Lytechinus pictus: one gene and its partners. The protein of the gene in region 1 purifies or fractionates together with the protein of each later gene. This does not show direct contact. Links are inferred from orthologs where the notes say so. Each region holds a gene or a part of one and is shown on either strand. Other genes may lie near its edges. The genes, in order: integrin-linked protein kinase-like, T-complex protein 1 subunit beta-like, multifunctional protein CAD-like and leupaxin-like.

Region 1 (7,500 bases):
GCAATATTTTTAATCATTTTTTCTGCTATTTTTACAATAAACTTTTTGTCAGGGTGGACTTCCCCTTTAAAACAAATATCCAAGATGGCAAACTTCTTTATGACAGAACATGTGTTTTCTCCATGCTTATTTAATGTGGAAAAACTGTCGAGCAATGTCCCCATTTTTAAAACACATAGGCCTGAATTTACAAAGGTGGTTTCATTTAAAACCATGGTTTTAGAAACCGTGGGTTTTAGAAACCATGGTTTTTGCAAAAACCACTTTTGTGAATTTGGGCCATACATTGTACATGTAGAGTACCAAATGTTCTGGTATTTTAGAAGTGAACATGTAATGTGCTACAATGCAGCATTTGAAGAGGACTTGATCAACTTGACAGTCTTTAAACAAATTCTTTGAGATTGATTTTCATGGTAGACACAGAGGTCATACATGTAGCATGAAATTAAAAAAAAAAGCACAGAAGCAATAATGCCTTTCCAAAATGATTGCAATCATGCATCTATATTCTATTGTAATATGAATATGCTCAAATCAGCTATTGAGAGGCACTGGAAAAATCATCCACTAGAATTTTTACCCTACCATTATCATAGACTATCCAACTTAATGAGGGGCAAATAAGCTACATTACATCCAAGTAAGTATATCTGGCATCCAGTCATGAAGAGGGTACAGTTTACTCGCAACAGTGCCCAAGAGAAAATGTACTTTGCAAGGATAAGTTACAAATCTACTCAATATTTTTCTTCTTGTAAAATGTTTAATTGACCTGGCAATACAACGTCTTGTTTGCTTTCAAACATTCATGTTGATCATGTTACACTAGCCTAGGTATAAAGCTCTCTCAAACAAAATGAACTTAACCATGCCTGTTACGTTAGAATGTATCATGGTATCTAATGGTAATTTTAATAGAATCCTTAGACCATAGAGCTATTAACAGCTCCATGTTTATCATTGGCTGTTGAGCCCTTTTCCTAGATGTATGGATGACAAATTTATCATACAGTACATACATGTACAGTACTAAGAATTTTCAAGAACACGGAGCAGGACAAAGAGTAGGTACTACAAAAATCTCAGACAAAGTCAGAGTCTCTGAAGTGTACATGTACGTATATTTTCATGGTATGTACATGTACATGTACATGGGGTCCAGTCAGAGGATGTTACCACTTGTTGCAATCTTTGTAAAATTTAAACTTTTATTACACTAAAATGGAAGACATTCCTTCACTATATCAAGATACCATCATGTAGCATTCTTCATATTTTTTATGCAAACAAGTGAAACACTCTCTAGATCTGCCCTAACTACATGTAGATATCTTAGATTAAAAAATAAGTCTCTGATAAAATAAAACCAATTTAGCCCAATCGTTTTTTTATGATCATGTCTTTAATATAAAGATTGAAAAGAATTTCCCCCTTTTTTTACTATGGCACACTTACTTATAAAAAATAAAGGCCCTCTATTTCTTAAAATACAGTCTTGGGTTTAAATACACAAACCTTTTCTTTCTGAAAAAAAAGTAAGCCCTGAACAAAGGAAAATCATCAATGAAATTCCATTTACAAAGTTATTATGTTCACATCTAGAAGATGAGACACAAAAAAATTTAGAAAAATATTGCATTGATCCATTATTAATGTACCGGTATGTAGGTCAAGAGCAAAATTTGTTGATAGTGCCAGAACTTGTATAACTTTGTAATTGTGATCCAGACAATTTTTATGAAGTTTGGTTGACAAGAATCAATGTAAATCAGTGACATAAAAAATTTACAGGCAATAATATAGACAAAGAAAAATAAAACATTAGCATTTGGCATCTGTAAAGATTATAAATGCAATATTGAAAACTTGAACAGATTTGAGATAGAAATAACAAGAAAACAGTAAAAATAAACAAAACTTTAAGATGATCATCAAGATAACAATTGTGCTGATGGTATTCAGAATTGATGATTACAATATGTTAACAAATGACAAGACAATGGGATATTGTTGATGATGGTACTTGGTAGATAGCTGATGTTGGATCGATAATGGGGACAATGATGCCATTGATGATGAAAGATGTTGATTCATGACATTGACCCTGATTTTAACGCTGACCTGAATTAATTTAACAATTTAACAAAATAGCAGTTCAATTTTTCTGGTTAACTTTTCTACACTAATTGTTCTTACCCTTGGTTTGGATCATTTTCAACCTTGTCCAACCAAACTCTGATGTGCACTGCATTCCCATCACGGATTTGTGAAAAAATATCATCCATTGCTGTATCAGCTCTAATAAAAGTTCCTGTGAGAGTCCTCTTGATGTCGAAGCAAGTCCATCGACTGTTCAAACAAAGTTTGAAATTCCTGTACAATTAGTCACTTGAATATCAATGTATTTATTAATTCAAGTGAATCATAATCCATTCCTATTGATATGCTTCACTGCTTTGCAGAGTGCAGATTATCGATGAGAAGCAGATAATTTGAAAAGAAAGAAGTGAAGAACGTATTATTTTCTCCACAAAGTCATGTTGACAATCCTCATAACATGAGATATGATGATGATCATACCCTGCAAATGAAAAGTTCACTGACTATCAGTATCAACTCAAGTGATGATGGATGAAAATCCAGTGACAATTACTTTAGATTCAGTTTCAATTGCGTTTGGTCCACAAATTTGAAAATCCAGTCCGAAAAGTTAAATGTGATTTCAATCAAGGAATGACAATTATTATTAAGTTTCTGTGTTGAAGTGAGTCTGACTAAGTCAGTGTCATCCAAAAATAATGCAATGTTGATCCTCTCATCAAATCACACAAACTGCTGTAGAGACCCCCGCCAAATTTGACACATCAAGTAGCAGAAAGGTCACGCACTCGAGGTAAAAACGTCTTTGGTGCAGTCAGTCGGCTATATTGCATCGGAGCTCGGAGCGACATTCACGGGCCACTCCTCCACTCATTTCTGAAGAGACTCCGATAATGGATGACCTCACGCCCACGGGGTCAAGATTCCTTGCATTCCTAATTAGGTTGCGGAATGTTTACATACAGAAAGATTGATATTTTTCTTCATTTTTTATGCCGTTATTAATAAAAATTACTTTTTGTTGATTTTAAATTAAAATTTTTAATAATTTTTCATATTTTAAAAATCTTATTAACAATATTATAGTTCTACAACAATATTTTCTAAGAACTAATCAGTGCTTTACAAACTCAACATTTCAAGATGGCAGCCTCCATCGTTTCCACGAATGTGATGAAATTACGTCTATTTCTTTTTAGTTTACGGCAAATAAGTATCGAAAAGAATGAAATTTCACAGTTCATTATTTCGAGAAGAACTCCCACACTTAGATGTTGTCTTAACGTAAGGAACTTCTATGGAAACAGGCAGATTTATCGTTTAATTTCCACTTGGCGTGTCCGGACTGCGGGAGTAGGGGCCACTGCTGCGATTGCCCTCGGGGCAGTAGCGGCGTGTGCTGAGTCCGCCGAAACGGGTGAGTTAAATGAAGGTTGTTCTGCGGCCCCGCCAGCGCCAGGCCATGTGCCCATCCCATCTCTCCCAAACAAAACCGGGCCAGGCCTGGGGATCAGGAGTTTCAAAAGAGGTTCATCTTCATAGGCTTCATGACTCTCTGGCTCTGTCGCCCTTAGTTAGACCAAAAGCTTCGGTCTCTGTTATGTTGGTTGTTCAGCTAAACTCTGTTGTCTTCACTCACCAAATACAGAGACCGAAGTTCTAGCGCGATCTGTACAGGGGACTCAATGGCCATATGTTTATGTGTATTAAGTTCGGATAAAACAGGGCAGTGAAGTTGCGCGACAGCCGAGGTAAGTTACTGTTTTTGTTCCTTTTAACTTGATTTTCCCCGTTTTTTGGCAATTAATGCCAAGAGGGAATATTAATTTGCATTTTGGTCGCATTAATTTTCAAAAGTTTGATTCATATTTAAACTTTAAAGACAAAAATTGAAGAGCCCCGACGGGGGGATTTTGCATTGTAAGTCCCCTAATGGTGGCTGCACGATAGCGAGCCGTCTGTGTATGAGGAGAAATTTAAAAAATAAACAAATGTTTAAAAACTCCTCGAAACAGACGGCTGCCAGCTGTCTATGTCGCCCTGAGCCTGAGGCCTGAAATCTGAATGGGTTTTAATTAATTTAATATTTAAATTTAAGACAGAAAATCAGAAACAATCCTTTTTTGGGGAAAGTTTGATGAAAATCCATCAACAATGAAAAGAATTAGTAAATAACGAACAGATGAAGAACTTAGAAGAGTTATTAATTGTTCTTTTTTTTTCAATTTGTGATATCGTGTGCAATTAGATTCCCCATATTTGTCAATGATGAATACAATTTTTTTTAATTGAAGGGGAATGAAACCTTTGTAATAAATAGGCTTGTGTGGAAACAGAAAAATCAAAGAATAAGAACAAAGAAAGTTTGAGAAAAATCTGACAAATAATGAGAAAGTTATGAGCATTTGAATATTGCAATCACTAATGCTAATTGCTATTGAGATCCTCCTATTGGCAATGCAACAAGCAAGTGTGATGTCACATAACTTTCCCTTTGATGGACTATAAAATACCCCTAAAATTTATCTTTTTGCTTTTTCTTATGGTGATACAAACTCTTTATCCATTATGTATTCTTTAAAAGTCTGTATTACATGCCCTCATATAGAAAGAATATATGCTCTACTGATAGATGTGAAAAAAGAGGCAGTTTAACTGAAATATATACTAAAGTAATGCCTAATGGGGAGAGTAGTTCACAAGTGACATCACAAATCTTTGTCGCATTGCCAATATGAGGATCTCCATAGCATTAGTGATTGCAATATTCAAATGCTCATAACTTTCTCATTATTTTTCGAAAAAATCAATCAAACCTTGAGGGGGTGCTGGCGTGCCGCCCAAAAAACGATTTGGGGCAAAAAGATTGTTGACCCCCAACCCATTTTCGTCAAAATTGTATATCTTGGCTTTTTTTGTGTCAATTTCTTTGTTATTTTGGACAAGGAATTCATTTTTAACAATAAAAAGATGTAAAAATGCTGTCTTTGCCCTAAAATTTAATCCTTACTTAATTTGGAGGGGGTCAAGTTGACCCCCTTTTGACGAATTTGTCACTTCGCAACTGCAAGAAATTTTTTACCTCGTCACTCAGTGACTTTTTACTTTCAAGCCTTGCACATCTTCTGAGACCAAATTTGTGATGCCCAGGTACGTGGTTCCAAAATACATGTAACACAACATTTTGTAAGTGCATGTCAGACCCAAAATTGCCCGAAAACGTGACTCCGTGTACAAAGTCAATGCAGATTGGGTAACACTATTTGCATTGACTCTGTACATAGAATCACGTTTTTGAGCAATCTATCCGATATGTATCATCAATGTAAGTTCTATACAATATAATGTAGAAATAAAACATTCCTAGGTATGAATGAAATTCATAAGAAGGAAGAAGAGAACTTCCGGTGAAAGTTTTCCAAGTAATTATGACGATGGTCAAACATCATACATATGTACTACCGGTCAGTTAGATTTCTTGGGAATATCCCTGAAAGAAAAGCCTTATGCCAATAAAAGGAGAAGAACCAGGATGAATGGGCTAGAATTGTAAACTTTGACCCAGCCAAGACGTCAGACATTTCCCAGAGTCTTGTTTCCCACTCCTTCCGGTGGAAGTGGTAGTAAAATATCTTAACCAATCAAATTCAAGGGACAAAGTGAGTGACTAGGTATTTAATGGCCAATGATATTTAGAGGGCCATATACTTCATAATACTTTCTAAGAATATTAGAGTTCCACAATTGGCATAAAATTATTATAAATAAAGCTAGAATGTGAGTCTAAATCAGAAGCTGCTGATTGTTCAACAGAGATACTACTGGTTAGAGATACTGCACAAAAGTATTAACAAGTTTTCATCTGAATACTGTATTCAGCCCTCGGTGAATACAACAACTTACAAGGTGTTGTTAGGACAATCTGATAGTCCGGATCTTGGGATTCCACATTGACAAACTTGGAATCGTTATAAATCAGTAAACACTAACGAGAAGTTGGTGTTTAGGATTTATGATCTGTAACTGAATCATTGGTCTAAGTCTGTCCAGAGACAGGAGCTGACATCAGACAGATTGTCATCGTCAGGACGCTCAAGTAAAGAAACCAAGAATCAGCGATGAAGAAGAAATAACTAAGCAACATCATTAATCATTGAATTGTATAAAGCTGTTAATATCTATATACTTAGTTTATAACCTGTAATCTTTGTTAGAATAGTTTACTATAATAAAGGTTTTCTAAAACCTAATTATTTTTGTGATTGGTATTCTGTTAACAAGTTTTCAAAAGTATGTCGGTACGTGGAACATACACTGCAGTCAAAAGATCCCAGCCACAAGGTAGGCCCAAATCTACCCTGTGACAATGTATAATTCTGAAAAAATTACAATTTATTCAATTTACATTGCATGGCACATTATGGATCTACTTGAATGTGACATCACAATGGTAATTTCTTCTTTATTACAGTGAAAGCAAGATGGTTCTATGCATCAAGAAAGGATGATGTAGATGAAATATTGAGGTAAGCTCATTTGATTTACTTTGAGTCAAAGAAAAAAAATAATATGTTGTTATGACAATGACATAATTTAAAACCAATAAAACATAGATATGTTTAAGTCATCAATTGTTTTAGGAAGAAGATCTTGTCAAAACGATGACATTTGAAGCCTGAATAAAGTTTTTGTAAATATTAGACAATATGGATTGCATTGTTTTATTGAATCAAAGCCAACAACATTTTAGTGACCTTGTTCCCTTTTTTTCACCATGGATTACTTATAAAAATTGCTTATTCTCACTCATGTTTGTCTCTCCTCTGTCTATCTATCCCCTCTTTTCCTATACTACCTCCCTTTCACTCCCTTCCAACAACTCTCTTTCACAAATACATGTAGATTACTAAGGTCTGGGTTCAATGTGAATGAGAGGCATCAACTTGGATGGACAGCTTTGCATGTAGCAGCTGTCAACAAGAATCAAAAGTAAGACCAAAGACTCATATTCTAAAGGTGTATAGCGACAAAACCTTTTTTTTTTCAGGAAATGACCATCTTATTGTGAAAATTTAGAATGATTGTAGTAGTGTACTTCCTATTCTTTATAGTCACCTAATTTACATTTGATGAATGAGACATGGTTCCCTTTAAAGAGGAAGAAGTTTATTTTGCATCAGAGGTATATCTGCATTGTAGACCTTGTAGTTGTTTTCTTTCCTTGATTTTCTGATTGTCCATATACTTGTAATAAATCAGGAACATTCATTATGCACTGCTTACATTGAGTCCACTGTTAATAAAACATTATACTTCCTTTGAATAGTCAGCTATATCATTGATTGATTCTTGAGAATGTGTTCCTGGTATTCTCTTAGAATATTTCTTTCCACCGTG
Region 2 (7,007 bases), on another chromosome or scaffold:
GGATTAACGAACATCGAGGTATAGGCAATTTACGTGTTTCGGAATTACGAACCTTCAGAATTACGAAGTGTAACCGATAAAATTCGCAGCGTTATGTTTGTTTGATTTTTCTCTATCGATTCAAATCAACAGTTTTCTAGGGTGGACTTGACCTTTAAATACGTGTGTGGGTAAAAAACACTTATCTATTTCACACCCTATTTTTACTTTTTTGGCTGAAATTTGTATTTTTTCCTCTAAAAAAGTAACTTTTGTTTCAAAGTTGAAAACAATGTGGTGGGGTTAGGGGTAATGCAATGGGTCATCAATACATGACACCACCATAATGTACTCATTCATTATTGGCCTGCATGGGGCTGGTGGCTCAACTTGCCCCTATGCTCAACTTACCCCGCCTTCCCCTATAGTTTACTTAGCGCATTGTAATGGATATCATCGAATGGGCAGTGTGAGGTCTTTTCTCCCTCTCCATTTTTTTTTGGCCGAGACTAATGGGGGGGGGGGGCTATTCGCAGCCCTCATGGATCTGCCGGGATCCGCCTATACAACCCAGAAGGAAAAACCAGTAAGACCAGTAAATTTTTTTTTACTGGTTTCCAGTATATTTTTACTGGGCCAGTTGATTTTTAACTGGACCAGTAAAAATCAACTGGAGACCAGTTCCAACAATTGCATTCCAGTTAAAACAAAGTAGTAATACCAGTTAAATTGTTTTTCATCAAACTGGTGTTACTGGTCCAATAAAATGGTTTCCAGTAGATTTTTACTGGTTTCCAGTATATATGTTTACTGGACCAGTTGATTTTTAATTGGACCAGTAAAAATCAACTGGAGACCAGTTCAAACAATTGCATTCCAGTTGAAGCAAAGTAGTAATACCAGTTATATTGTTTTTCATCAAACTGGTGTTACTGGTCCAATAAATAATGACTTTATTTCAAATCAGATCATTTGACGAATTATGGAAAATGAATCTTGCAATTCAGAAAAAGTTTTTTTCGTTATCATTTATCATTGTTATCATCATTCTTCTCATAATGGTTAATTTCGGTCATGTTCGCTCATTTGGTTTACGTAGCAGACGATGCTAGCCTGCTCGTATATAGTATACTTACGCAGACCCTTTTGCAAATCAAAATCAATTCTGGACTCGATATTTGCTCCTCAAACTGTAGCTATATTATAAATATAAGTAGGCATAGCTTTATAATACAAGAACATTGATACTTTCAACATTAAATGCGTAAATTAAGTTTGTTTGGACTGTATTAATTATTGTTTCAAATGAAAAGGATCTAGGAACGGAAACTATCATACGTTAGTCACGTGACGTTGTACACAGAAATATGCCATGTTCTGCCTGCTTGATCTCAAAGTTTGGGGAAAAAATGAGATGTAACCATTATTTCAGTCATAAAGTATTAGACATCAAACTGTAGGTAATCTATTTAGCATTGAGATGACAATCAATCTCGACCTTTCTGACCCTCAAGGATATATATCAGGTGTCCCACAGGGATCTATACTGGGTCCATTGATATTTTGTATTTTTATTAATGACATGTGTAATTTGAAATTGCATGTACATTCTAAAATGTCTCTTTATGCTGATGATACCGCCATTTTTAATCACGGTGAATCAATTAAGGAGGTACAAAAGTATTTGCAAGATGATTTTGATTCAATAAGTAAATGGCTAGACTTAAATAATATGCATTTACACCCGCAAAAAACAAAAGCCATGGTATTTGGTCAAAAGAAAAAGTTGAGGGGTGCTCATTTGTCAGTGAAATTCAGGAACATACAATTAGAAAATGTAAAAAAGATTAAATACTTAGGTGTCATGCTCGATCCGGGCTTGACTTGGTGCGAACATATTACTAATATCGTTTGTAAAATATCTCGGGCAATAGGTTGTGTAAGGCGGATTAAGCACTTACTGTCCTTTGATATTATGAAGAAGCTGTACTTTTCTATGGTTTTACCTTACATTGATTACTGTATTACATCTTGGGGAAGCAGTGCAAAAATACATTTAGATAAGATACAAAAACTTCAAAATAAATATGCCAGAATGCTTTTGAAAAAAGATTATAATACATCACAAATTTCTTTGTTGCAGTCACTGAAGTGGCAATCAGTAGATCAGCGTATAAAATATCAGTATTGTGTTCTTGTATATAAAATAATGAATAATTTAGTTCCAAATTATTTAAAACCTTTAGTATGTAAACGGCCCGTGAAATACAGGACACGGTATTCTTTACGATGCCCCCTTCAGCTTCCCAAAGCTAGAATTGAACATAAAAGAAAATCTTTCGCATATGTCGGACCCAAATTATTTAATGCACTTCCTTCAAATTTACAAGTTTGTACCTCCTTGTTAGTTTTTAAAAAATTATGCAAAGCCTTTCATACGAATTGATAAAGGGCGAAATGATATTTCTTTGATTTACAATGCTATGTATGTTTAAATTGTCACTTCCCACTCTATATTTTGGTGTTAATTGTTTCTGATGTTAGATATTTTGTATTTTTGTATTTTTGATGTTGTTTGTTGTTGTTCATAGTTATCTTGACATTTATTTTAAACTGCAGGGCGCCTTTGTAAAGCAGTTTTAAGAACTGAACAGGCCTACCCTGCAGTATAAAATAAATAAAACAAAATAAATAAATAAATAAATAAATAAATAAATTCCAGGGGGAAAACAAAGGTGCCAGCGTCTCGAAAATATGGATGGTTTTAAACCGTTTGCCATAACAAAAGTTGTGAACATGGACACTTTCAAATGAACAGCGAGACGTTAATAGTGTATTAATTGTAATAATATTTACATCGAATTAATGGAATTGGATACAATTTTCACACTATTATCAATCTGGTGTGAGATTATTAATAGTTATAAAGATATACCCGGATTTCTGCAATATTACGTTTATGAAAACCACTGTTCCCTGTGTTGAAGCTGTGTGTGGGGACTTTCGGACACTCAAATGCACGCGACTAACCATTATGTATAATTATCATTATCATTATTATTATTATGATTATTATGATCATTGTTGTTATCATTCTTATTACTGTTATCATTGTATTATTAATATTATCATAATTATCAAGTATTAACATTATCATTAAAATAATTATGATCAAGATCAAAGCAAGATATATTCCTCTGATATATAGTCAACTGGTCTAAAGTAATTCATTGTTTGAAATTGAACTGGTCAAGACCAGCAATACCAGTAATTCTGATGAAACTGATCACGTGGATTACCTCATTTGCATATTTCCTATTTTTTAAAGAAAAATCAGGATTTAGAATAAAATATCCTTGCATGCAATGGCACTCATTATTGTTTAAAAACTTTCTAAATAAGTGTGTGAACTAATTCACAATGAAAATGTGTAATTTCATATATCACATTTAAAATAACAGCAGAAATATTAATTTACTAACCATCTTTTCCATCACATTTCACTGACCATGGTATATAACAAACCAAATGCATGTAATAAATTGAACCAGTAAGACCAGTACGAGGACCAGTACGACCAGTTCGAGGACCAGTCACACCAGTAGAAAATACCAGTAAAGACCAGCTTGAATTGGATACCAGTATGAAGACCAGTGAGACCAGTAACAAGACCAGTATACTGGACCAGTTAGACCAGAAAATCGATGTTCCAATTTCCAGAGTTATCAGTTAAAATTCTACTGGTCTAACTGGTCCAGTGGAACTGGTTTTTCCTTCTGGGAAGCGTCGCGTATATCAATTGTATTTTTTTGTATATTAGTTTAGTTAGTTTAGTTTATGTTTTAAACTCACATTGATCCATCCAGCGTCGGATCTAGTTTGGTTTGATTATTGATTAAGGCATAGGCCTATGTGGGAATCAATTTTGTTTTTATATTACCGGTAACTATATATTATGTAGGGCCTTTTACAAAATGTTCGAGACGGTTCTACCGAGCCTAAATTTCAACGCACGTCGCCCTCTGGTGTTGAAAATTTTACAGTTCCTCGTGCTAAAAAAGAGATCGAAAATTCACTCGAAACACACCCTAATTCTTCAAAATGGTATGCATATTCACTGTTTATATATCATTATCGTTAAATATGAATTTAGTGCTTATCCATTAGATGGATTTTATTTTATGCATGATTGTCATACAATGTTTTTAATTACATGAAGTGTCCGCCGGTTATAATTGCTTGGCAACCGCAAATTACCCTGATCCCGCCTATTGATTTTTGTGTATTTTCCCCAAAATGATGATTTCGTTATGGATGAGGCTGAGCCTGAGCGCTCCCAATCTTAACTTTTCTAATTATACTTTGATAGTAAATAAGGATAACTATTAGATCTATCTCAATTACGAAAATTAAGTGGTGAATTCAGTATTTTTTGTTGTCCTAAAATCTTTTGGCAATCCCGGATTCCCGGTGCTGCTTTCTTCATTCTTGATTTGGTCAGAGACAGAGAATGAAAATGATGCAGATTTAGAGAAACGCCTGGAGGCTGGACAGTCCAGTGAACACAAAGAAAGTGTCATGAGTGTGTGTGCTGTTGTTGTTTCAACTGCAAGGCAAGCAATCATGCATGTACTATGTAAAGGGAGGGGAGAGCGCTGAAAAGGGGGAAGGAAAGAGAGGACAAGAAAAGGGAGAGAAAAATAGTAAAAAGACATGAAGAGTAAGAGACAAAAGGGGGAAAAAAGAGAGGGTAGAGGAAAAAGAGGGAAGGGGAGAAAGGAGAAAAAAGGGGAGAGAGGAAAAAAAGTAATTAAAAAGCCGGGAAGTGGGGGGGGGGGGCAAATTCATGTTTGAGTTCGACCTTTGGGGTGCCAAATTGACCTGAAATGAAGCGGCATCAAATTTACCTTAAACTCGGGGGGGGGGGGGCAGGATACCAAATTGATGTTTGACCTTCAGATGTAACATGGAATAATAAAGATAAAATGGAATAATTTGTGCGAGGTTAGTATTAGTATACTATTGCTAACCTCGCACCATGAACCGCGTTTGGCAGTGGATTTCTTACTAGTGGGTCACGCATGCTGCGACCCCACTTCTAGCGTCCACAACACGTGACTTCTATGGCTTGATTTTTTTGTGCGTGGCGATTAGCCTAAATAATCCAGGCGGGGGTCAAAGGGTCCGCCCCCAGCTCCCCACTGTATTGGCAGCGCAAAAAAGAGAAAAAAGACGAAAATAGGGAGGGAGGAGGGAAAAAAGAGAAAAAAGGAGGGATATTGATAAAAGTGAATGAAATAAGGGGAGGGGGAAATTGAAAAATGGAAAAACTGCTGTATTCACTCATTCCATTAATATAACTATGCATCTGGTGTTCTTCAAAATAAATGGTTTATTGCCAAGCCAGGCTTTGTAGTGATACTTTTTCTTTTTTCCCCTGCTAAACCAGCTTAATATCAGCATCAATTTTCTTTTACATGTAAACCTTGCTTTAGGTTCTTTCATAAATTCAAGTTAAATGGCATTAATAATATATATATATATATATATATATATATATATATTTTTTTTTTTTTTTTTTATTAATGTATTTTCGTACCCAATGTATTTACATTGAGCATTGTCAACATGGAAATTTTTTTTATCAGTAGAGAGACAACATGATTTAAGAAATTTTTGCATGTTTAATTTCCACTTCTTATTGTTTGTCATAGGTATCCCTTCAACCTGTTCAGATTCTAAAGCATAATGCGGAGGAGGAGAAAGCAGAGCTTGCTCGTATGTCATCTTTCATTGGCGCCATCGCCATTGGAGACTTGATCAAGAGCACACTAGGTCCCAAAGGAATGGTAAGCCTGCGCGCGACACTGGCACTGGTCCGACGGTCCCAGACCAGTAAAAATTGCTGTCGGGCCAGTAACTTTTCAGAATTACCCAGATTTACTGGTCTGACGTGACCAGTAAAAAATATTTCAAGCTTATACAAATTATATTTTCTCCTCTTGTAAATTATAAAAATGGCTCTCATGAATTGTGCTGTGTGTACTGTTTGTTTGTATTTTTTTTTTGGGGGGGGGGGCAATAAAAGCAATAAATGACAGCAAAATAAACTTATTCTTGTTTATGGTGTTCTTTAGTTTGGGGGACCAGTATATTTAGGTTCGGACCAGTAAAATAAGGAGAAATTGGGTATCTACTGGTCCGACATGAACAGGTTGGACCAGTAGAAAAAAAGGGTTAGTGTGGAGCCCTGGCCGTAAGCTGTTCTGCTTGGAAAAAGGAATTTCTTTCTAAAGATGATCACCTTGTATTCTTAAAATTTAAAATGATCTAACAGATGGATTATTGGGGGGAAAAAATCAGGACAATGATGAAAAACAACTATGCCGATCATGTTTTATCTTTTCGTACATAAATATTCTTCGACTTTTATAGAAGCACAGAACGTTAGATTTGGTCTTCTAAACCTATTGCTTTTTGCTCTCAGGATAGTGAAATAAATGTGGTCTTTTACTCTCTATAACATTTGATTTTGTGAAAGGGATGAACTTTTATTGCATCATTAGTATAGATATTGTCAATGGTTTGCTTCCTCGAGATGCACCAAACTAATTTGACGATTGTACTTTTTATCCCCAGGACAAGATCTTACAGAGTAACAGCCCAACAGCACCACTCACTGTCACGAATGATGGTGCCACCATTCTGAAATCCATCGGAGTGGATAATCCAGCTGCTAAGATCCTTGTTGGTAAGTTGGATTGATGTTATTTGATGTTTATTGTTTTGTTTAGTTTTTCCTTAGGCTGTTACATCAGTGTACTTAGTGTAATTATCATTATTTATTGTATATTTTCAGTGTACATTTCAACTTGGTGGCCCCTTTTTATAAGCTCTGCTTTCTTTGGGGTTACCAAACCATCATTCTATTGTTATATTTAGTATTTGAATAATTATTTATATTGGTATCTATTTATGTAATTGTTTGTACCTGATGATGGTTAAATGAATAAATTTAATTGAATTGA
Region 3 (7,976 bases), on another chromosome or scaffold:
CACCTGTGTGGATGAAAGAGAAAGGAAAAACAAGGGTGATGGCAGATGAAAGGGAAGGACAAAGAGAAAGGAAGAGAGAGAGAAAGAGAGAGGTTGGGTCCTGAGCGCTCAATTTGGGCTTACTCTATAAGATGCGAGAATGTGCTTTTTTAGCTTGATTTTAAAGCAGTTGAGACTAACGGAGTTAATGATGTCGTGACTGAGTGTATTCCAGTATTTAGGACCGTAAAAGGAAATTGTTTTTTGTGCAAGTAGAGTGCGGGTACGGAGAAGGTGAAAACGGAGGGATTGTCTTGTTGGGTAATTGTGAATGGCGATATTTTTTGTAAACATGTTAATTAATATGTTTGGCAGTTCGTTTAAATTCAATTTGTACATGAATTGCCCTGTTTAAAAAAGAAATAGATCTGGAAGTTTTAAAACATTCGACTTGTAAAATAAATTGTTAGTATGAGAACGAGGAGGAGCATTATGTATAATTCTTATAATGTTCTTTTAGATGAAAATTTTGTCTGTAAGATATTTGTTGGCTTTACCCCATGTCATTATTCCATAATTCAGATACGGAAGTATTAAGGAGGAATATAATGTAAAAAGGGTTGATTTTGGAAAAAAAGTGTCTTAGTTTATTCATTACACCAATATTCCTGAATATAGTTTTGGATATATTTTGAATATGAATGTTCCATTTCAATTCATCGTCAATCATGAGACCTAAGAATTTGGTTGAAGAGACCCTATTTAGAGGAGTGTCGTCCAAAAGGATGTCTCCACGTAGATTTTGCAAAGTATTACTAAATAACATAAAGTTTGTCTTTAGGATTTAAGGGATTGTTAGCTTTAACCTATTCAACTATACGTGTCTCAGTTCAAGATTTATAGTAAATAGTGTATTTTGGTTCGCATGAGAATAAAATAAAACGTATTAACCTTACCCATGCATTTCAGGTCGAAATATGAAATAAAATTTCAGCTCGCGCTTTGCGCTCGCTATATTATAATTGTTCATTTAATTGTTTATTTACTTACAATCATAACTATGATTACCAAAAGTAAATAGGATGTTGTGTTTTAAGGTCTTATTTTTTTTTTTTGAATTTGTGAAAAGGTGCTTATGGTCCTTCTTCGGATCAGTATAGGACTATCAGATATTTCATCTTGCACTTTGCGCTCGTATAGTTACACAGATTGTTCTTAATTCAAAAACGTGTTCAGATTAGCATACAAATTATTCAGGAAGATACAAATTTTAGTCTGCTGTGCAAACCCTTCACTTGAGTTTTGAGTTAAGGGTCTGAATGTGTATCCTACTCATGCCTTGTGTACTGAAGGAAACGGCAAGTTTTGTATGTATATAGTCTTTGCGTGGAGACACGTACACTTGTTGATCAAAGCTTTCAGGGTATGCGCCTGCACCTATCATTTTCAAGATTACAAAAAGTATTTAGAATGTTCCGTTTTTAGGTCTTGGAAAAAAAATCAACTCGCGCTTCGCTATGATTGTATAATATATTACCAAAAGCGATATAAGAATGTCTTGTTTCAAGGTCTAAATCACCAAATAAAAGCTTAGCTTGCTACGTACGCGCTTGTTTTCAGGTCAGTATCTATCTATCTATCTCTATATATCTATCTATCTATATACATAATCATTGGCGGCGGAAGTAAACAAAATAAGGGGGGATCACCAAAAATTTTGACAAGCAAAAAAGGTCATCAACGAAAATTTTAGGGGGAGGCCGACAAAAAAATATGACAAGTAAAAAAAAAAAAAAAAAGGTCATCAACGAAAATTTTTTGGGGGGTCGTCCCGCCACCTCAAATTTAGAGGGGGACACGTCCCCCGTCCCCCCCCCCCCCGCTTCCGCCGCCTATGTACATAAATATATACACACACACACACGCGTGCGCTCGCATCATTAATTTTAGGCCTTATCAGACATCTAATCTTGTTTGCAAGAAAAAAACAAACTAAGATGTACTTACAATTTCGGACTTTAGTGGGAACTACCCCCAACGGACGTACCATTAGATACCCTGGGGGGGGGGGGGGTTAGTAGAAGTTTGGGTTGATGCGATTTTTCCCCCTTTCTTCTTTGAGCAAAGTTATTTTTTTCCTTACTCTATTGAGGCATTTTTTGGAGGGCACCTTTCAGATGTTTGGCAGTGGACCAAGTTGTTTTTACTCTGATCAGATGGTGAGTCAAGTTTTTTTTTTTGAAAAACTTCCATCGCCCCCCTGGATATCTAATGGTGCGTCCCTAAACAAAAATTAAAAAGAAGAAAAAAAAAATCAGCTTTCAATCACTGGCGAATGGGAAAAATGTGAGTGAAAATGTGTTTCCACCCCCCCCCCCCTTAATTGCTTCCGCCGCCAATGGTATAGGGGCCCGTAAAAATTAAACTATTGAGGAATCTTTTCTCGTGAAAATGATTTCCGCATGATTTCGCATAGGGCCTACTGACATTATGTCATTTTTTTGGCAAATTGAATATGATAAACTTTAAAATGGGGGACTTTGAATTATTCAAAATTTATGGGGGCAACTAAGAAAGGGCTTTCAATTGATAAATTAAATGGATCGAAGAAGAAGAATTAAAGTTAGTCGACCATGGAGGTGATGTGTACATTTTCCCCGTCATTCAATAGGGCCTACATGATATATGTGTTGATCTCGCGCAGTGTTTCCACAGATCCAAAACAAATTTCCCGAAATCTCATATTTCCTGAAAAAAGTAGACATTTCCTGGAATTTTAAAATTCTATCTTTTTTAAGGAAAAGGGACAATAACAAAGCGTGTCTAAACTTGGTCCAAGTGACCAAAATCAAGGAATTTAAACTTTTTTGTTGAATGCACTTTTTCAAATAACAAAATTACAAAATGCGAGCGCAGAGCGCTAGCGGGGCGCAGAGCGCGAGCAGAATTTTTTAAAGGAAATATCCTTCAAACCCGGGGGGCCACTTACATTGACGAGTGGATACCATGCGCGACCAAAAAAACACGTAAAAAGGATGTCTTTTTCAAGATAGGGCACGTTACGTACGTAACGTGATAAGGGTGTCAAAAACACAAAAATATTGAAAAAAGGGTATCTATTTAGCCCGAAAAAATATACGTGTTTAGGGTCAAATGTGCGGGGATGATAAAACAAAATCAAAATGTTTTATAAAGGATGTCCTTTTTGCCCCAACACTACGTGTTTATATAGAGTCCGATTTGCGCGAGGTGTGGAAGATGGGGCCGTACTTAACCAAAATAATGGTGTCTAAAGGTAAAACCGACGACCGACGGACGCGTGACATAAAAATAAAATATATCTGTACTTGTTTAGGCTGGGTTCACATAGAAGTATACTATTCTGGTATACGGTGCACGTTTTCGAGGGCACGCGAATAGCTTGAATCGAACAATAGGATTTCCTAATACCGCGGGGTCACATGAGAGGGCACTATACGAAAATGCCGTATAGTTGCGTATAGTATAGTATAGTGGGAATCGTACTTGTTCGATTTTCGTGCAGCGTATACAGACGTGGCAGGTGGTGTTCTGAATTTCCCTATAATATTTCTGTGTGCGTTGGTTAAATGAGGAAAGTTCAAATGAAATGATTTCTTGGTACTCTTTTTATTGGAATTTCTTAGCACATGCCGTCATATTTAAGTTACCCAGCACTTCAGAGTTTATCTCATGCACATGCTGTATTATTTATGTGGGCTCTGCATTTTTCGTTCTGTCTTTTTTGACATTGAAATGACTGAAGATACAAGGTCAAAAAGGTCCGCAGCGAAGGCTACTTGACCTATGTTGCTGTGTATCGCTGAGTCATGTTTAATTAATTACTTAATTATTCTTATAATAAGTCGATAATAATGTGGAAATATATTTAATTCAAGAAAATATTGTTTATAAAATGATTTATTTATTATTTCACTTTTGCTATGATTTCACAAAGCTGGAATGGGGGAGTAGAATCAAGCCCCCCCCCCTAAAAATGACGTCATCAAAGCAAAAATAGGAATGATTGATATAATCAATTAGGCTGATACAGGTTTGAAATCTTAAAATATAAATTTGGAAACATAGCTACAGTATTTCCAATAACATTCCTCAACCCCCCCCCCCCCCTCCCCCAAAATAAAATTTTAGTTTTTAGTGTGTAAAATCATATGGCTCAAATAAACCCATCTCGACGGACTGGCTGAACTAACCCCATTAAAAAAAAATCATTAAAAGTTGTATTAAATAGAAGTTTAATAATTTGCAGAGGTGACAAAAGTCTGCTTGAAGTTAGTCCAAAACAAGCTTATTTTCGAATCTTAGTAAGTTATATGTAGAAAAAATATGATTTCTTTCCTTTTTTTTAGAAATTAATTTCATATGTACCTCCTCAGGCTCGGCCAGTAGGTAAAGAGCCAAATCTTCTTCGTCTGAAGTATTCATTTTGAATATTAAAGTAGGACACGCGTGCTACCTTTATGTGACCCGCCATGCCCGTATAGCGAATAGCGAATAGAGAATACCGTATACCGTATACTTCTATGTGAACCCAGCCCTAGGGGTTCATTTCAGGGAATACTTGCTAAGAGTATCGTTTTGTTTCCAATACTTGTTAAGGGGTGCATTTTCAGAATATGGAAAATACATCGCTGTACTTGTTTAGGGGCTCAGTTCTGGGAATACTTGCCAATAGTATTTGTTTCCAATACTTGTTAAGGGTAGGCATTCACACGCCAATTATACTTGTTAAGGGGTGCATTTTCAGAATATGGAAAATACGTGTTTAGGGTGCTTCTCAAGACCCCGTGGTCGCGCATGGTATCCACTCGTCAATGGAAGTGCCCCCCCCCCCCCCGGGCCTTCAAACTGGAAAGTGGAAACACTGAGCTCGCCGCGTGCATGCAGTACACATCAGGCGAGCTAACCGCCGCGCGCCCCGTACGCTCGCGCGCGCTGCTTGAAAATCATAATGGCAGCTCGTCAACTGCTGCCGTCTCATTCTTTGACGAACATCCCGCTTATTCCGGAATCTTTTCATTTTTCGACATTGTTTGATACGTTGATGTACTGAAATTCACCGCCTTGGAAGTAACTCAATCGGTACTCCATCCATGGTATGAATGTCTTGTAGCGTTTGGTCATCCTAAGGGAAATAATTCACATTGATTCAGAATTGAAACTCGTCGCCGAACTGTGTCTGTGACTGAGGAGCCCACGTGTTGTGTGAAGACGAACTTGTCATCCGGAAGGAAGCGCGCCCGCGGGAAAGTTTGAATAGGTGCATTGAGCGTGCATGATCATCATAGACCGATTGCAACGTACCGGTAATCAGCTGTCCGCTAGCCGAAACTCTCCCGTCAGTCAAAGCCGACTTTGGTGAAGTTGTCATTACGTGCAATTCAGGATGTCAGCCACCCTTTGCTTAGCAGATGGCACCCAGTATTCGGGGAAGTTATTTGGAGCTAACTGCAGTGTTTCTGGAGAAGTTGGTAAGAAACTAGAAGAAAGTATTTATTTTAACATTTATTATTTTCATTTTCAATGAGTGTCAATTATAACAATTAACAACTCTAACTTAATTAATCTGATTCTGACTCAGCTCAGCTAGCATTAACTTTAAATTAGAGTAAATAACAAACAGTGAGTTTCAGTTACACCTAGCCAGGCGGCTTCTACTAGAGAGTAAAAATCATTTACTAACGTAAGGTTACTCTCATACGAAGCCAGGCATTCCCCCCCATTCATCTGCGTGTACATAACTACATGTACCGCAAAAAACCCTGAAACTTTCGCCCCCGAGATTTCTACTTTCCTTCTAAAAGATCTAGCTCTAAATCATGTAAATGGGATAAAACTTCATTTCTGACATTTCTACGCTCTCGTTGTTATTTGTAAAACAAGAATTCATCAAAAAAATGAAAAAATATTGTGAAAAGACGGAAGAGATTTGCCCGATGTTTACGCCGCCATCTTATTTCTTATTGTACGTTACGCGACGCTCGCGTCCGTAACGTTGGGGAAAAACGAAAAGTTCTCTCCTTCTACCCCCGTTTCGATCGGCCATTTTTGTTAAAAATCGTAACAAAATGGCCGATCAAGACTGGGGTAGAGGAGAGAACTTTTCGTTTTTTTGAGGTTCCAGTCTGTGCCCAGATGTCAGGAAACTGCCACTCGTTAGACCTTCATCCATATAATCGTGGTAATTGTATACTTTCTGTTTTCACAATTCATTTGGAGAAATATTTAGACCATAAATCACCCTAGTCCGGTGACTATGGTCAAATACACGGTAAGCTCCTGGGCTCCCTGGGTTAGAGTTTCATATGCACCCCCACTAAAATTGAAATTAAGACATGGAGAAGGATCAGAATAATATATCTAGCCCTAATATAGAACATATATGATGGGGGAGTGGAAATACATACCAAAATGTGGCTTTATTCTGTCAAATTTCGAGCAGGATCTTGTGCGTGTAATTGTCCATAGAGTAGACATCGCTTTATTTAGTCAGTAAATTAAGGGTCTGTGAGTCTAGACTAGTCGAACTATCGGCTGATAATCGTTAAAATACCCCTTCCGGTAGTGAGAAGAGGTCTTGACTGCAGATACATGTAAAATGTGGTGAGTTTGAGTCCCAACTTGTCTTAGGTAAGCAACAGTAAAAAATGATAGAAAAATCAGAAGTGAACGAACCGGAAGTCTCGACAATCTTGTTATTTTTGGTGGGGGTGCATATGGAACTCTTTCCCACAGATCATGTGACATGTCTTGACTCTTGCCCCAGCTTGCATTGGCAATCCCATTGCCCAGTTTGTTTTGACTTTTGAATTTGAGTGAGTGACTCGCCATGACGTCTTGGGCCGTCCTACTTCGCAGGGATGATACTTTTCATATTAAACTTAAGTTAAAGTCTGAATTCGATCAGCATGATTATTAGACTCTTTCCACATGTTTTTGGTCATGAAATACATGTAGATCATCTAGACTAAAAGGGTCATCATATTTTACTATTTCTAGATGATTTTCAGACTTTTTTTTATTAATCAGGCCTGAGGCCTGACTGGCGTCGATGGCCTTTTTTTTTAGTTAATCAGACCTGAGGCCTGAATGGCATCAATGGCCTTTTTTTTAGTCAATTAGACCTGAGGCCTGAATGGCATCAATGGCCCGGCCCAGCTGGGGCTGGGAACAATTTTGTTAAGCAAAAAATAAAAAATAAAGGTCATATTTGGTTACATTTCTGCTATTTATCATGCCTACCAGATTTCCAGGGGGTGCTGCCTACTGTATGGTGAATAACACGCAGCACCACAGGTTCGGGGGGGGGGGGGTTGGAGGAGCTAGGGTGTGGAGAAACTTCTGAAGATACTCATTAAGCAAGGGAGCAAAGGTAGTAACTTGGTCATGGGGCGCCTTTGCATTTGGTTAAGTGTAATGAAAGGATTTTGTGCACACATTTGATGAATTTTGTGACAAAAAATTATGTAAAAATAACAAGTTGGGCGTATTCCAAAGTTCTGAGGGGCAACCACACCCTTCTCCCTCCACTGTGTTCAGCCATGACAATCAAACAGAGTAAGCAATACCGGTAACTGTATATTGTTAACAAGTCTGGCAAACTATTTCCCACTGGATGGTGAACCTAGATCTTTTTTAAAATGTGATAATATTCATTCCTCATGTTCTAGTAATCTTCAACAACCGACTCATTTTTGTGAAATTCTAGACCACAAGTTAGTTTTGGAAATACAAGAAAGATTTGTACATGTATATGTTTATGCTGCGCTGCTGCCAGTACCATCTTTGTCATGGTGTTTCTGCTCTTTTTCTTTTTTTCAGTTTTCCAGACTGGTATGGTTGGCTACCCAGAATCCTTGACAGATCCTTCCTACAAGTACCAGATCCTGATCCTGACCTACCCTCTCATCGGAAACTATGGCATCCCGGCCAACGACAAGGATGAGTTTGGACTCCCA
Region 4 (7,726 bases), on another chromosome or scaffold:
TGAGAAAGTCTGTAAAACCAGGCTTAATTGTCAGTATATCATCGAGGATCTAGATCTGGTACAGTTACATAAACTGAATGTTGTGAAATCTTGAAATCTACGCTGAAAAATGTTCAGACTGAACTTCCCCAACACAGATAAGCGCACGTGGGACAGTGTATAATTATTGCTTTGAGCGTCGGGCCCGACGCTCTACCCGAATCCTGTGCTTATTTGCTGATTTCTCAGCAATTACACAATTTCTTCCAGAATCCTTTGGCACATGCGTTTTATTTATACAAACAGACACTTTGGTGGTCATTTCATTGGATTCTGTACGAACTCATTTTGATATCGTTACCAAAACTAGCATTTACCTTTAACAAGTATTGGAAACAAAATGATACCCTTGAAAAGAACCCTGAATTGAGCCCCTTAACAAGTACAACAATGTCTGTAATAACTGTTTGTCACGGACATGATCATGGACGTCTGCTTATACCTTTTACTTTCATTGGGCGGGGGAGTACTACCCCACACACCTCGCTCGATTTGGACCCTAAGCACGTAGTGTTGGGGCAAAAAGTACATCTACAGGTTGTAGGCCTATAGTCTTTTTATACCCTCGCAAATTGGACCGTAAACACAAAGTTTTCCTAGCAAAATATATACCCTTTTTTCATTATTTTATTGTTTTTGACACGTTACGTACGTAATAAGCCCTATCTTGAAAAAGAGATCCTTTTTACGTGTATTTTTGGTCATGCATGGTATCCATTTGTCAATGGAAGTACCCCCCCCCCCGGTACTCCAGTCAGCTTTTTAGGCCTACATGTAAGTCCTGCATCCCATTGTAGGAAGAGTAAAAAAAATCAAGTCCAAGTCCTTAACCAGTGTCTATGAATCTAACATTACAGTTGTTTTGTTTTTTTTGTTTAAATAAAAGTCTTCTTTGAATTTAAATAGGCTGTTTTTAGGCCTACATGTACATGTACATGTATGCCTTAAAATACATATATGTTTTCAACCTTTTCATGTTTGTCTTGCCTGCATACATTGGCAGAAGTGAGACATACATGTACATGTAGGCGCCGCTTTTCTGAGGTTGGTGGTGTAGTCAACATCTATAGAACTAAGCATAAGTTTTTGAAATATCACCAGAATGTTGTTCAAGTATAAAGACCCGTTTTATGATCTGCTAGACTAGGCATTCCACTTGTTCTTGAGATTTCTCAATTTTTCTTTGTCAGTCTCAGAAATTTGTATTTTGAACTGTATGTCCCTACATAATATCAGGTATTATCGACAATGAGAGAAAAGTTATCGATATCGCTATTTGCTAAGTGGCAAAAAACATGCGTTTATCAACAAGACTAGCGATAAAGAGGTTATTGATAACAGCACTACTTTCAAAGGTATATACATGTTGGTCTTGATAGTATGCCTACATGTACTCCTTGTGGTATCGTGAACTATAATAATGTCTGAATAAGCAGACTAAATGAAGGATGGACTTGTGGTATCATTAGCATATCATGTTTATTTAGAGAGTGGAATGCCAAACAGCTTGGTGTTTGACCTTAGATGACACCAAGGACCTCTGTATGAATGAGGTCAAGATCTAAAGAATGAAGAAGTTGTGACTGATCCCCATCTGGGCATCCCTCTCTCTGAATATTAGTCTACACCAAAAGCAAATCAGACCCATTTGTTATTTTGTCTTTATTTTTTGTACTTTGATTTTACTTGTTAATAATTGTGTGCTAGGTAATATAATTGGTTTTATGTAAAATGTGGCTGATTGGTGCAGATGACACTCTTAAAAGCAAAATAAACTATCAATCAATCAATGTAGGTCCCATGTAAGGGGAATTAGGTCGAGGCTACAGATACTTTGTATTTCTGTATTTTTAGGGCAAGGGCACATTTTATATTAACAACGCAAATGGGGAAATGAAAAAGGCAAAAAAATACATGTACATGTATAGGCCTATTTAGGGCCAAAGAGAGGGACATTGCAAGGCTACCGGTAATCAATTTTTTTTCCGGGGGGGTGGCAAAGCTCTTCAAATGTTACAAATTTATTAATTTCACATGCGAAGAATGATAATGTCCATTTTGAAAGACTATTTCTGTCTGTCTGGTCTTATGGTTAATCTGGATGCTCCAGGAAATGTGGCATTCTTGGCATTGTTGACATTGACTGCAAATTATTTATTGCCTATCCAGAGCAGTGAATGATAGCTTATTTGAGTGGAAGAAATAGCAGGATCCTCATGAGTATCAACCTCACTAGGCGGACATGAAAATAAATCTACATGTAAGCTAAATGATACAGATAGTATAAAAAATAATGATTAATAATTCAATATTAAGATTTAGGCCTATGTACTGTACATGTGGTGAACTTTCCATCTTTATTTATGCTAAAGGTGCTTCAGGACTTCAGAGCGAATGAACGACACCAATTAATAAATTGAGGTCTATCAAAAACATTCTTATACAGTGGATCCTATTTCTTCAGTGTGCAAGTAATCTATTACTCCTTTCAGACTGGTCTCTTCATTTTTCCCCGGCGAACTTCTCTGGCATGCATTCCTCACTTCCCCGGCGAAGAAAAAATATGTACCCTTTTGCACTTCCCCGGCGAAAGGCGATTGGTAATTTGCTCGGGCGGAAGTAAGTGCAGACCCGGTGTCAATGAAAGCGTGCGCTTTTTTTAATTTGAATTTTTATTTTACTCTTTTCTTATTAATTGCAGACACCTGATTAATTCTTACAGTGAAGTTTTGGAGATGACGGCAGGTAAACACTTCTCAGCTGCTCCTGCTGATCAGCTCACTCAGCAGGTGCATGCAGAATTAGAACGAACAAAAATAAAATGAATTGTAAACATTGCTTCTTACCGATTACAAAAAGGTGTTAAAATATAAATTACAACCAATTCTAGAAATATTAGAAGCAAAACCAAAAAAAAATCAAAGTATTTTGATATTTTAAGCGCATTTCCAGCATGTAAAATAATGCTTTTATAATGAATATCGTTAGTGAAAAAACAAACTGTATGTTCGAGGGTATTTAACTCTATGGAATTATTGAATCGCTCATAAAGCTTGGCCTTCTACATTTATCCACGGAAATAATAGCTACATGTAGCTAGCGCGCGGAATCTCAGTTCAGGGGATTTCGGGGAGAAAAAAATGACCTCTGACGTCATCAAAGAGGAGAAGTTCTCCGGTTACCTTTCATACTGGCTGTTTCACTGGCGAACTTCGCCGGGAAACAGTTTCCCCAGGTCTACACTCTCATGCACATCCTTTTTTTAGAAGATAAAAAGTTTGCTTTGGGGTGGGGCAGATGGGAGCGGTCAGGAGGGTCCATGTACATATGTATTTGTATGTAGGCCTGAAAAGCCCTGGGGTGGTATTCTGAGATCCATTTTATCTCAGTTAAAATAAAATATTTTACCTCCGTTAAAATCAGTGAGATAAAATACCCTTAAAATCTCTCCGAATTGGTATTCTGAGAACAATTTTATCTTCATTTTATCTCTGTAAGACACACCTATTTTTTAATCAATATCCAATTAGAAACGCGCTTTTATAGCTCTCTCATATCACTCAACCAATGGAAATCCATTCCGCTAGGAGGTGTGGCAAAGGAGTGAGATTGCGTCAATTTATTGACTTCAATACGCTTGCACTATACGCTTGCGCGTCTTTACAGAGATTTCTTTTTAACTAAAATTGCATTACTCTCATCTCTTTATCGATGTCTATATCGCATCTTTTCAAGCATCATTTCAAAGACAATATTAGTCAAGAAAAGAAATGCTTCCTGATTGTACAGGAATAACTTTAAGGTGTTGTTCTCAATGAATCTATAATTTCTCTTAAATTTCATGCCAACAGTTGGAGTTAATTCACCTAGAAATATTGACGAAATCAACGTCGCGGAGATAAAATAGCCCCTACCCTCTTTTAAGGTTATTTTATTTTTTCTTCAAAGTAACTTGGGCGCAAGCACATTACCCGCTTTGCAATGGCCAGATACGCGATGGGTATGTCTACGCAGCCACTGCTCTGTTGCGTATCATCATAGATACGCAAGATAAAATTTATAAGCATGATAAAATGTTAAATTTTATCTGAGAGATAAAATGTCATCTCAGAATACCAATTTCATTTTAAGAGATAAAATAAAATATTTTAAAGATAAAACGACCTCAGAATACCGCCCCTGATATTCAGTGGTGTGTGTGATGACTCACATACATGTACATGTAGGCTATGTCATGTTCATTTATGTTTTTATCTCCATGAAATGTCACCTACAGTAGCAGGCAATATACTTGTAACTGGTGCATTAATGAGCAGTCATGCAGAAAAGTCATGTATTGGAAGAGATTCACATATTGGCCACATTTATTTGAGTAGACTATGACTGCAAATTTGTAATGCATGTTCAGGCTCCTCATTATCATCTTTTGATAGTACCGGCTTCAAATCCCATGAGTGTTATTTGGAATATCAATCAGTGCATCAAATTCATACTGGATGGTGATTATAAAGAAAAAGAAATGGAAATTTTGCTCTTTAGAGATACCATGTACCGGTATGCACTAATAGATAGCGCAAAATGTATAGGCCTATACCTTCATTAGCCTATAGAAGAAGGTAAAATTTTGATGAGCAAATTGTTTATCCTTTTGTTCCAGTGTTCTTCTCCACTATACATCTAGGCCTACATATGTACTTGGTAGTGATGATTGATTTCTTTTGAACATAATTTTACTGGGTATTCTATTATCCAAGGGGGTTTTACAAACATGTAGCGCATTGATTTGGTTTGTTGGTTTCAAACCCAGGTTGTTGGATTACAAGAAACACTGTATTGCACAGTGCTGTGAATATACATTTGGGATATCAAAAAGTAATATTACATGTTCATGTATGTACCTCCATACTCTGCACTAGCCTGCATGGAAAGAAGTGTCATCGGAGGTGAAATGGTGCCATTATTTACAGTATGTCAGTGATTGATGGGGGCCAATGAGTGAAAAAGATTAAAAAGGATTTCACATCCCTTTCTGCACTTTCAAATATCAGGTGATATACATGAAGGAATGTTGCTGATATTTTGGGAGAGGTTGATGGCAGGACAAGGGGTTTTGCCCCCGCTCCTGTTGCCTCCAAATGGTTCTAAATTCTACTATCTATCTTATAAAGTAAAAAAAAAAGGTCTGGGCCCTTTCTATCAAAGAGTTGCGATCGAATTTATCAAACTCAAGTATTGAAAGCCAGTGAGTTTTCTTAGTTCTAAGAGTAAGATGTAACGAGCGATTGCGATTGAGTGATTGTTTGACCAACTTGCAAGTTAGTGTTGAATTGTGGCACTGCCGAATTGGCTTTAACATACAGTATATTGCTTGTGAGTTGTATTATAAACTCAAATTAACATTCTTTATGTCAACATGATTCGGTTAAAAATGATATGAAAAAAAGAATTATGTTTTTTGCCCTGTTGCAGTTAATATTCAAGTTACACATAACTTTATAAAGAAAAGGTTCTTATCCCTAGGATACTTTCATGTTTATAGCCAAACTAGGCCTTTAATAGCTTACATGTAATTTGTCGTGGGGCTGACTTCTATGATTGATTGCATTTATTAGTATTATTGATAAAAGTGTAAAAACCAGCCCATAGGGGCCCTGATTCTACCATAGAGAGAGCAAACAGAGGTTCTATCATTGATGGAGTTCATCCCTGTTTTAATGAGATGACATTCTGGAAACAATATATTCAGCTCAGATGGAGATGATGCATGGCACAGTTTGTAGTGATCATGACAGTGAGTGTGTGGGAGTATCATTTGTGTTGTCAGAAAATGTGACTGTCAGTATGTGAGGAGGGCCTGTAGACAGAATGGTATGTTCAGTTTTGATCTCCATCAGCCCCGATATCATCCCGCTATTTCTAGCAATATAAATCTATTTATTTCAATTTTGTGAACGTACTTTGCAGTGTTATCAAGATGTGATGTACATTGTAGAATGCTAAGAACTTCTCTGATTGCCGCTCCTCAATCATTACATTATTAATTCTTTCCTCCCTCTTCTGCATTCCGTCATCTCAATTGGTTTTGAGGGTATAAGGTTTAGTGTTGTACTTTTAATACTTGGCAGTGCTTTGTACCGACACACATTTCATCCAGTATAACTACATGTACATGTAGCTAGACAGGTACGGTGGCAGTTGCTACACTCTAAATATTTCAGAGGGCATGGGATTAGAGTTAAGATTGTAAATGTTATAGAGTTTTTGGTTAAAAGTAATGTTAAGAAAAGGATTGGAATTTATATAGTTTCGGAGGCTACATGTAGGTTTTATGTTTGGCTAAACGTGCAGATTTTCCATCAAAACAATTGTCGTCGGAGCAAATGTCATGGAACCATAACATACACAAGATCAGATTTTTATTCCAGTGTCTAGACCTACATGTACCTGCGATAGACACCAACAGTTTTGGATAGTAGATGAATTGCATGGTGGAAAATGAAAATATATAGCCCTAACCATGTGAATGTGATATTTTTTGTAGTCCGTCTTCAAAATCTTATTGAATCTGTGTTCACTTTAACAAGTATTGCTCCTTCACTTTCCTGCAACGAAAATGATGACTTCCTTTTGTTGAAATATTGTTTGATTTTAGATATTGTAATGTATCCTGGTCTACCATTTCCTCTCGACTAAGGATGCCACCATGAATTTATGGTATAGGTCCTTCACCTTTACTCATGTTTGGACAGTATGTGTTTCCTCTTGATGCTGATGAATATTCCACGGCACATTTCTCTCGTCAATGACATCTCCATTGCCCCATCCTTCTCCTCTTCTCTCGTTGCACCTCCTTTCTGCATTCTCTATTGATAAAAAATCCATCTTCTCCCCTTTCTCATTTTCACCCATCTCCTCTGTCTGTTTGTGTCACTCACCACTGCTCTCTCTTCCATTCTCTCTCTCTCTTCCTTCCTGTCATTTATCTTCCCTTCTAATAATATTGACATTCTGCCATTCTCATCTGTTCCCCCTTATTGCATCCTCCTTTCTTCCATTGTTTCTCTCCTCTTCCCTTCTTTTTGATTGGTTCCCTGCCTTCCACCCCTCTCTTTCTAAAAATCCACACCCTGCCCTTCCCACCTGCCCCACCCCTTCTTCCCAACACTCTTCTGGGAAACCTTAGTTTTACCCTCACACCTACATGTATGACACATATACTGTAGACATGAACAGGAGAGCAGATGTGTTGCTTTTACACACGAGGGACCATTGGATGCAGCCAAGTGATGCTGACAAGGATGCTCGTTGCCGTGATGGTGAGAGGCAGTCAGCGGGGCAGGGAGCATGCTCATATATGGGCAAAGGCCTTATCACATGTGAGACCCCACACTTGCTCCACTCCACTCCCCTCTGCACTGAGCTTTCTCTGTGTTATGACTAATACTCCGGTCTGAGGTCACCACCAGATGCTGCGTGTGCGTGCGGTAACCAAGTCATCTCGGTACATTTCTTTCAAATCCATCTCATTGCGTTTCACAGCCACCAAACATTGCTCACACTGTATGTAGGCTTATGTATTTCTTGTCTTCATAATATGTAGCAGGGATTATCCATCTCTCATTTGGAATATAATATTTTGCTGTAAATGTTGGGATATCTCCTAGAGGGTAAGGATCATGTGTGGTGT

What was found.
Region 2: the proteins of integrin-linked protein kinase-like (region 1) and T-complex protein 1 subunit beta-like purify together in Homo sapiens (affinity purification with mass spectrometry; 3 studies listed by BioGRID and IntAct, with this or other methods). This does not show direct contact. The link is inferred for Lytechinus pictus from reciprocal best matches to the Homo sapiens genes ILK and CCT2.
Region 3: the proteins of integrin-linked protein kinase-like (region 1) and multifunctional protein CAD-like purify together in Homo sapiens (affinity purification with mass spectrometry; 4 studies listed by BioGRID and IntAct, with this or other methods). This does not show direct contact. The link is inferred for Lytechinus pictus from reciprocal best matches to the Homo sapiens genes ILK and CAD.
Region 4: the proteins of integrin-linked protein kinase-like (region 1) and leupaxin-like purify together in Homo sapiens (affinity purification with mass spectrometry; 4 studies listed by BioGRID and IntAct, with this or other methods). This does not show direct contact. The link is inferred for Lytechinus pictus from reciprocal best matches to the Homo sapiens genes ILK and PXN.

The regions. Positions count from the first base shown.
Region 1 is NW_026974140.1:15,264,816-15,272,315, forward strand, and holds the start of integrin-linked protein kinase-like, read right to left. Parts: upstream 3,017-7,500; 5' UTR 2,289-3,016; coding exon 2,200-2,288; intron 1-2,199. Other genes in the region: mitochondrial disaggregase-like, read left to right, coding at 3,247-3,520, 6,575-6,629, 7,006-7,092. UniProt on the Homo sapiens protein: Scaffold protein which mediates protein-protein interactions during a range of cellular events including focal adhesion assembly, cell adhesion and cell migration.
Region 2 is NC_087263.1:2,302,687-2,309,693, forward strand, and holds the start of T-complex protein 1 subunit beta-like, read left to right. Parts: upstream 1-3,993; 5' UTR 3,994-4,080; coding exon 4,081-4,083; intron 4,084-5,693; coding exon 5,694-5,828; intron 5,829-6,618; coding exon 6,619-6,730; intron 6,731-7,007. UniProt on the Homo sapiens protein: Component of the chaperonin-containing T-complex (TRiC), a molecular chaperone complex that assists the folding of actin, tubulin and other proteins upon ATP hydrolysis.
Region 3 is NC_087261.1:11,653,390-11,661,365, reverse strand, and holds the start of multifunctional protein CAD-like, read left to right. Parts: upstream 1-4,966; 5' UTR 4,967-5,404; coding exon 5,405-5,489; intron 5,490-7,839; coding exon 7,840-7,976. UniProt on the Homo sapiens protein: Multifunctional protein that encodes the first 3 enzymatic activities of the de novo pyrimidine pathway: carbamoylphosphate synthetase (CPSase; EC 6.3.5.5), aspartate transcarbamylase (ATCase; EC 2.1.3.2) and dihydroorotase (DHOase; EC 3.5.2.3).
Region 4 is NC_087246.1:21,756,150-21,763,875, reverse strand, and holds the start of leupaxin-like, read left to right. Parts: upstream 1-4,719; 5' UTR 4,720-7,684; coding exon 7,685-7,706; intron 7,707-7,726. UniProt on the Homo sapiens protein: Cytoskeletal protein involved in actin-membrane attachment at sites of cell adhesion to the extracellular matrix (focal adhesion). Recruits other proteins such as TRIM15 to focal adhesion.